Ovis aries: one gene and its partner. The protein of the gene in region 1 interacts with the protein of each later gene in a biochemical or structural test. Links are inferred from orthologs where the notes say so. Each region holds a gene or a part of one and is shown on either strand. Other genes may lie near its edges.

The links.
Region 2: the proteins of ACTA1 (region 1) and GC are reported together in a solved structure, tested with the Homo sapiens proteins (2 studies listed by BioGRID and IntAct). The link is inferred for Ovis aries from reciprocal best matches to the Homo sapiens genes ACTA1 and GC.

The regions. Positions count from the first base shown.
Region 1 is NC_056078.1:961,756-966,298, forward strand, and holds ACTA1 (actin, alpha skeletal muscle), read right to left. Parts: upstream 2,952-4,543; 5' UTR 2,862-2,951; intron 2,078-2,861; 5' UTR 2,066-2,077; coding exon 1,937-2,065; intron 1,832-1,936; coding exon 1,507-1,831; intron 1,405-1,506; coding exon 1,243-1,404; intron 1,142-1,242; coding exon 950-1,141; intron 855-949; coding exon 673-854; intron 588-672; coding exon 444-587; 3' UTR 196-443; downstream 1-195. UniProt on the Homo sapiens protein: Actins are highly conserved proteins that are involved in various types of cell motility and are ubiquitously expressed in all eukaryotic cells.
Region 2 is NC_056059.1:87,719,697-87,723,386, forward strand, and holds part of GC (vitamin D-binding protein), read right to left. Parts: exon of another isoform or gene 3,607-3,690; coding exon 3,509-3,606; intron 1,623-3,508; coding exon 1,454-1,622; 3' UTR 1-1,453. UniProt on the Homo sapiens protein: Involved in vitamin D transport and storage, scavenging of extracellular G-actin, enhancement of the chemotactic activity of C5 alpha for neutrophils in inflammation and macrophage activation.

The DNA of each region.
Region 1 (4,543 bases):
CCACCGCGCGGGTGCCAGTCTGAGGAATAGATCTGAGCCAGAGGGGAGGGCCGTGAGCTGCGGAAGACTGAACTCAAGGCCTTGTAAGGCCTGCACTCATTTAGAGTATTGTGAAAAGTGACGGAGGAAGACGGAGTCCCTTTTACTCCCCTACCCCGCAGCTCCCCGCCCCCGCAAATAAACACAACAGACAACTTTACGCAGCAAAACAGAACGGCTGAGTTTAATGCTTCAAGTTTTCCATTTCCTTCCACAGGGCTTCGTTTTAAAAATAACAAAATGAGGTAAACAATGTATGTACACATTATAAACAGTGTGTCAGTTTGCGGCAGCGGCAACGCTGATGGTTGGAGAGCAGCTGCGCGCGGTGGCTCGAGGTCAGCCGCCTGCGCCGCGAGCAGATTCGTCGTCCTGGGGAGAAGTCGCGGCTGTCGGAGAGGCGTCTAGAAGCATTTGCGGTGGACGATGGAGGGGCCGGCCTCGTCGTACTCCTGCTTGGTGATCCACATCTGCTGGAAGGTGGACAGCGAAGCCAGGATGGAGCCGCCGATCCACACGGAATACTTGCGCTCAGGTGGGGCGATGATCTGTAAGACAGTGAGGACCTGTCAGGGGCGCGGTCGCGGCCGGGAGCCCGTCACAGGCCGCGGCTTGGGCGAGGGCGCCACCCACCTTGATCTTCATGGTGCTGGGGGCCAGGGCGGTGATCTCCTTCTGCATGCGGTCGGCGATGCCCGGGTACATGGTGGTGCCCCCAGACATGACGTTGTTGGCGTACAGGTCCTTCCGGATGTCGATGTCGCACTTCATGATGCTGTTGTAGGTGGTCTCGTGGATGCCCGCCGATTCCATGCCTGGGGGCCGCGGAGGGGAACGTGAGACAGAGGGCGGGAGGCCCGGGGGGCCCGCGGGGCTGGCACGGGCCGGATGGCGGCTGCGCGGGGCTCACCAATGAATGAGGGCTGGAAGAGCGTCTCCGGGCAGCGGAAGCGCTCGTTGCCGATGGTGATGACCTGACCGTCGGGCAGCTCGTAGCTCTTCTCCAGGGAGGAGGAGGAGGCGGCGGTGGCCATTTCGTTCTCAAAGTCCAAGGCCACGTAGCACAGCTTCTCCTTGATGTCGCGCACGATCTCGCGCTCAGCTGCGGGGAGCGGGGCGGGAGAGGAGCCCTCAGCGCGGGGTCCCGGGGGCAGCGCACCGTCTGCCGGCCCACCCGCCTGGGGAGCCCGCGGCGCCGCGCACCTGTGGTCACGAAGGAGTAGCCACGCTCGGTGAGGATCTTCATAAGGTAGTCGGTGAGATCGCGGCCAGCCAGGTCCAGACGCATGATGGCGTGCGGCAGCGCGTAGCCCTCATAGATGGGCACATTGTGGGTGACGCCGTCGCCGGAGTCGAGCACGATACCTGCGCGAGGGTGGAGTCGGAGGTGAGCGGCTGCGCTCTGCTGGGCGCTCGGGGAGCGGCCAGGCGCTCGGGAAGAGGGGGCGGGGGCTCCTGGGCTCTCACCGGTGGTACGGCCGGAGGCGTAAAGGGACAGCACTGCCTGGATGGCCACGTACATGGCCGGAACGTTGAAGGTCTCAAACATGATCTGGGTCATCTTCTCGCGGTTGGCCTTGGGGTTGAGGGGCGCCTCGGTGAGCAGGGTGGGGTGCTCCTCGGGGGCCACGCGGAGCTCGTTGTAGAAGGTGTGGTGCCAGATCTTCTCCATGTCGTCCCAGTTGGTGATGATGCCGTGCTCGATGGGGTACTTGAGGGTCAGGATACCCCTCTTGCTCTGCGCCTCGTCTCCCACGTAGGAATCTTTCTGCCCCATGCCCACCATGACGCCCTGCGGAGCGGATATACCAAGCTCTCATTACCGAGGTTCCCAGTGGAGCGGGGCTAGGCCGCGTGGGGACCCGGCCTGGCTCCCTCCGGGAACCGGCAGCCTGACCTGGTGACGAGGGCGGCCCACGATGGACGGGAACACGGCCCTAGGGGCGTCGTCGCCGGCGAAGCCGGCTTTCACCAGGCCAGAGCCATTGTCGCACACGAGGGCGGTGGTCTCGTCTTCGTCACACATGGTGTCTGGTTTCTGCAAGGACAGGAATGCCATGGAGACGCTCAGTGTTTCAGGCACGAGGCCCCGCTGGCTGGAGCGCCCTCCCTCCCGGGGGACCTATGGACACCTCCAGCCTCCAGCCCCCAGCCCGGCGCCATCCTGCCGGGGGAGCAGTCAAAGCCGCGCGGGCGGAGCTTCGCTGCTGGGAGCTCTACTGCGAGGAGACCGCAGAGAGCGTTTCTCCACCTGGGAACTCAGGACACACGGACCCCAGAGCTCTCTGCCTTCGCTGCAGGCACCGCCCTCTCCGCCCCTCCCTGGCGTCGCATGGGGGTCAAGGTCCGTGAACCCTGATTGCTGGGCCACTGTGAGGGTGGAAGGAGACGCCGTGGAAAGGGCGTGGGTACTCCGCCAGAGCACGAATGGCTTATTTTGGACCTCCATGGCACTTCAGACTCACAGCCGAAACGCCCTTGGCTGTGATGGCGAGCCAGGGGATACTGTCCCTTCTACTGCCCTTTGGTTCTGTTGGGAAGGAACTACCCTGGGGAGGACTACAGCAAAACCTTTCATCTGCCTCGGCACGCACGAAGTGTCAGGGAGAGCTGCCCCCAAAGGGCTGGGAATAAATTTGGAGATCTTTCCAAAGGACCCGGCCTCCTGTCTCTTCTTTAAAGCACACGGGGCTCTGGGGCCAGAGGCCGGCTCACAGGGCGCGGGGCTGGGGCTGATGCAGTGAGTGGGCCGCACTCTACCCGGAGTTCTCCCGGCTGCCGCGTGGGGCCTGTCCTCCTGTCCCCACCCCGCCCCTGCCTACCTGGGCGGGTGGCTACACCTGCGGCTCTCCGGCTCCGGTCCCGGTCACCGTGGGAAGGAAGCGAGACTTCTCGGCGCTGTCCGCTGCGGTGGCCGCTCGTCCCCCTGCTCAGGTTTTATATAGCCCTCGGGCGCGCCCCTCGCGCCGCCCCGCAGGAATGTCGCTCCCCTTCTCAAGCCATATTTGGGTGTCGGGCACTAGAGCCCCCTCCCCTGACCAGTTCGAGGCCTGGGTCCCCGCCCGGGTCCCCTGCGCTGACCAAAGAAGGAGAGGCCTGGCCTGAGCCCAGGTAACGCGGGCCGGGCCGTATATGGAGCGTCTGCCCGGCGGTCGGCCCCGCCCGCCCCCGCCCCGCCGCCTGGCGGAGGGGCTGGGGTGCGGCGAGGGTCACCGAGCGAGCGGGGCGCGCAGTGGGCCTGCGCCCGGGCTGCACCTGTCCGCAGCCGCCCCGCCCCCGGCCAGTCGGGGCTCTCGGAGCCTCGGGAAGGTGCGCCCGCATTTCACCTCTGCTTCGTTCGGGTTCTTTACCCCCCAACTCAAGTGTGACTCCACCGAGGAGGGCTCTGTATCCTAGTGGTGGGGCCAAGAGGACCGGAGACGCGGTCAATCCCGGAGTCCCGGGCAGGGGAGGCAGATTCCCCCCAGATTCCCAGCGAACTCGGCCTCTCCCCCAAGCCCGAGCTCCCCAGCCCAGAGGGCTGACGCCGCCGGCCCCCACCCCCACCGGAGAGGGCCACCAGCGGCCGGCGGGCGCGCAGCTGTCGCCAGGACAACTGTGGAGAGTCGGGGAGGAGGCGCTGGGCAGCGGCTCTGGGCTCTCGCAGCCTCTGGCACTGAGCCAGGCCCCCCAGCGCTGCCCGCCTCGGGGACGCGCTGTGGGCTCGGGAGCTCAGGAAGGGAGAGAAGTTGAGTGACTACCTGCCCGGCTCCGGAGTATGGCAGGCTGAGCCGAGCACCCCACTCCCGCATCCTTGGCGGGGCTCACCGATGCCCCAGTCCTGGGCAGGAAAGGCAAGTGTCACAGCCCTAGGGTGGGAACTGAGAGGTGCTCTTACTAGACGACGCCTCACCAGTCTCTCCTCCCTGTAAAGAGGACAAGGGCATCGCGCTCTAGGATGGGCAAAACCTTTCCCTTCTGCAAAGGCTGAACAAACTCATCGTTATATTTAGAGGGTGATGCCCAGCCAAGGCCAGCTGATTCCCAATCCACCTTGGAGAGTCACCGTCCACCAGAGCCTGCTGAGCGATTCTATTTATACCGCTGATACACTGATACACGGGGGATCTGTCTTTCTGATTTTCTAGAAGGATTTGGATCTACTTATGGTAAAGGTGGAGTAGGGGTCAGAGGAGGTTATTAAGTTGGTGCTTCTCACTGTTTTTTCCCCTGGGGGGAACAGTTCTAACCTTGCTGTGGAAGGTACAAGGAGGAACAATTTTCTGCAATGAACTCAGGGACATGCTTTAAGGGGTACATCAGTGATGTGGTGTGAGCCAGAATGGAACCACTCATTTTTCTGATGTGCTCAAGTGTTCCCAGAATAGGAACTCGGTGGTGGAACTCAGCAACTGGGACAGGTGTGGGTCCTCCAAGAGGGATATAAAAGCACATGCAAAACCCTCGTCCCCAGCCACACACTACTGCTGCTGCTGCTGCTGCTGCTGCTAAGTCGCTTCGGTCG
Region 2 (3,690 bases), on another chromosome or scaffold:
AATGAGTAATGTGATATAGCTCAGCTTGTTAAATTGATAAGGTAAAAAGGCTCAGATGGTGAAAAATATGCCTGCATTGAAGGAGACCCAGTTAGATCCCTAGGTGGGAAAGATCCCCTGGGGGAGGAAATGGCAACTCACTCTGGTGTTCTTGTCTGGAAGATTCCATGGACAGAGGAGCCTAGTGGACTACAGTCCATGGGGTCGCACAGAGTCGGACACAGCTGAGCAACTAACACACAGACACACCACACACACACACACAGAATGATAAAAAATAAAACCACCAAAATATGTAAAAGAATTAGAATGTGTAACCAAGACTTAAATACAAACAAAATTTTGACAGCCCTAACTTTCAGAAAACCAGTTGAAATAGAAAAGAACCTCTACCAGAGAACCGAGAAAATACATTTTCTAGTTGGTAGAGAAAGCCAGACCAGACTCAGCAGAAATTATGAGGGGAATATCATGTTTCAGAGAAAAAAAAGGTATCATAAATCAAGCTACTGGGCAGTGAAATAGGCTGCCTCTAGGAGAAAACAAATTTCAGATATTTAAATGGAGGCCGAATGACCTCTGGCAGGGATGAACTGAGTGAAAAGTTACACTAAACGACCTTTATAGTTTTCTTCATATAAACATTTTATTTCTTATTAAGTTCTTAGGTATCTTCAGATGTGCTCTACTAGAATAATAATAGAAAAATGAAGTGAAAGTGTTAGTCACTCAGTTGTATCTGACTCTGCCACCCCATGGACTGTAACTTGCCAGGTTCCTCTGTGCATGGAATTCTCCAGGCAAGAATATTGGAGTGAGTAGCCATTCCCTTCTCCAGGGGATCTTCTTGATCCACAGAATTAAATCAGGCTTGTTGTTTTCATGGTTTAATTGCATAAAAATTCATATAAATTCTTAAAAAATCCTTTAATTTATAGAAAAGGACTTCTAATTGACCTGAAATCCCTGGCATAAGTAGTATTAACTTTAACACCATAGTAAAATTATTTTTATGTATAGATATAAAAATGATGGGTCCAAAATGGACCATAAGTATTTCCTTCCCAATAGACTACAAAATAAACAATAGTATAATCCAATCAAAAGGAATACATGAACTTTAGAAAGGTGAGCCAAGGAAGAATCTGTTTTAGCATGGCATAGAGCTGTTCTTAACCCTGCCTCTATATTCCAGAAATATAACAGGTGAAACATCAAAATCCTTGGAATTGTCATTACTACTTCTGAATTAGCCATAAAGTGAAATGAAATGACCTTATCTTTTTTGACTTGTAATATAGCATTCTGAAATAACTGCTGGAAAATAAAGAGTCAAATGGAGGATATGAACAAACAGGATACCTGTGTCTGAAAAGACCAACAAGACATTTCCCATGAGTAGGACAGGCAATCAATAACAAATGAGCAATTCTGACCATACCAGTTCTTCATACTATGCAGGGATAAGTAGAACATTAAATTTTCTTACCTCTGAACTGCAGTAGAGAGGAGGTGAGTTTATAGAACAGCACTTGGAGGCAAAGTCTGAGAGCTTGGCAACCAGCTCTTGGAGATCCGTCTCCGTGGCATCAGGAAATTTTCCTCTTAGCCGCTCTGCCAATCTGAAAGGCCAATTTTATGTAAAGTTCTAATAGATGTATTCTATAAACATGTCCAGTGCAATTGGTAGCCACTTCAGATCTTTTGCAACAGCAACAACAAAAAAGGAAAATAGTGACCCTTAAGAAAACTTAGTATCTGTGGAATGATTTTTGATGTCTCAGTTGAAGATTAGGAAGTGAAATCTATGTCTTTTTAGATCATAAAAGTAAACATACAACCTGCTGCTGAATTTGAATTCCTATTATTTTCCCTTTCATTCACTCAGTTATATCAATCACATGGATGACTTCCTCCTCTCTTCTCCCTAATCTTTCATCTTCTCTCCACTTCTAGATTTCAAACTCCTCAAAGACTACTTCCCATATAGGACTTTGTCACCTTAATGTACTTTCTCTCATATATAATCTCTTCTGTTTGCCTGCTACTCAACTAGCTATGCTGGAAGGCACAGCAAGGTCTTTGTGTTTTTTAAGCCCTGCTTTTTATGAACTCTCCATCTCCACTTAAGATGGTGCTAGGATCTGACTTTCTTGATTCCCTCCCATTTTGAATGGTCCCTCCCAGTTTGAATTAACTCTCTCTCCTCATAATGGATAACTCAGCCTGGTTTATGACTTTTCCAAGAAATATTGATACTTGCCAGCCCAGTAGTGGGCATTGGGACATAATGGAGACCCAAATTTATCTAGAGTTGGGATTACCATAATGGATGCTGGGAAAGGACAGAAGGGTGAGGGGGATTCGCTTGCTTATTAAAGAGTTATTGAAAATAGTAGGTCCCAAGGAAGTCAGACTAGATGCAACTCAGAGGATAGGGAGAAAAAGAGGGTGTGTGGGATTTTAAATACCTAGACTCAATAGTTTCAATCTTTTCTACTTCAAAATCCCAAATAGCAATTCTACTGCATTAACACTTTTAACGTACTGAGATTATATAAATTATCACAGAATTGTCCCATGTAACCCTAGAGTTCAAAACAAAACTGTTGGCAGGGGACTCAATTTTGTATTATCCGTAATGTTCTATACCACCTCCATAATTTATTAATTATATAATCTCCTGATAAATGAGAAACAACCATTTTGAACTTAAGGCTTTCGCATTTATTTTTCTTTTAGACTTTGTTAAGGTCTTCATAGGGGTCACTGCAGTTTTCCTCCTTTTGGGATTCTTTAAAAGGTTTTTTTATGAGGTTGTATTTGTGCTTATTTGAGGGTTGTGTTGTTGATGGTTTGAAATGGATCTAAGAAATTTGCTTAATGAAATTGAGAATGGCATGATCTTACAGAGAGATTTTCTAGGAAGCCAATAAAACTTTTGTTATGACCTGTTATTTTAGTATTAACACCTATCTATAAAGACATGCTTCCTCCTTTGACTTGAGAAAAATGGCGATTGTACCTTATTGACTAACATTTCTATTTCCAGTTTTTAGAGAATATATACTGGTAATGGATGACGCCGTACTTGATTGAAAGTTTGGGTCATCTTATCAGACAATAAGCCATGAAGTTAGATAATATTTTTCTGCAGTTTTAGTTTCTCTGTTATGTATAGCAACAACTACAGATAACTTTATGGTAAGAGTGTTAATATGAATTAATTATATATTCTTTAAATCGTGTCCCTGTGGATCTTGGAATTCATGTTTCTGTGACTGCGTTCTAACTGACCTCTCATCTGATATACATGACATCCCCCCAGAAAAGAACTGTTTTTTCTTATATAGGTATTAGATTGACTATTCTTTACAACTCTTAAATTGCATCTCCTCTTTTCACTGCTCACTTGACACATCTTAAGTCTTCAGCCCTGCTTCAAATCACAATACCAGGCTATTATTATTTATAAATTTGAAGGAATCAGCCAGAATAAGACTCTTACTTTTTCTTGTACTCAGTAAATGTGTTTTCTGAATAATCAGCACATAGTTCTTGTCCTTTTTGAATGAAAGATGATAATTCCCTTGTCAATTGAGGGCCCTGTAAGAAAATAATGATTATATAACAATTACTTGTCTTGATACATTCTTCAGAGAGATGTTAAATTAGAATTCTGGGCAATGT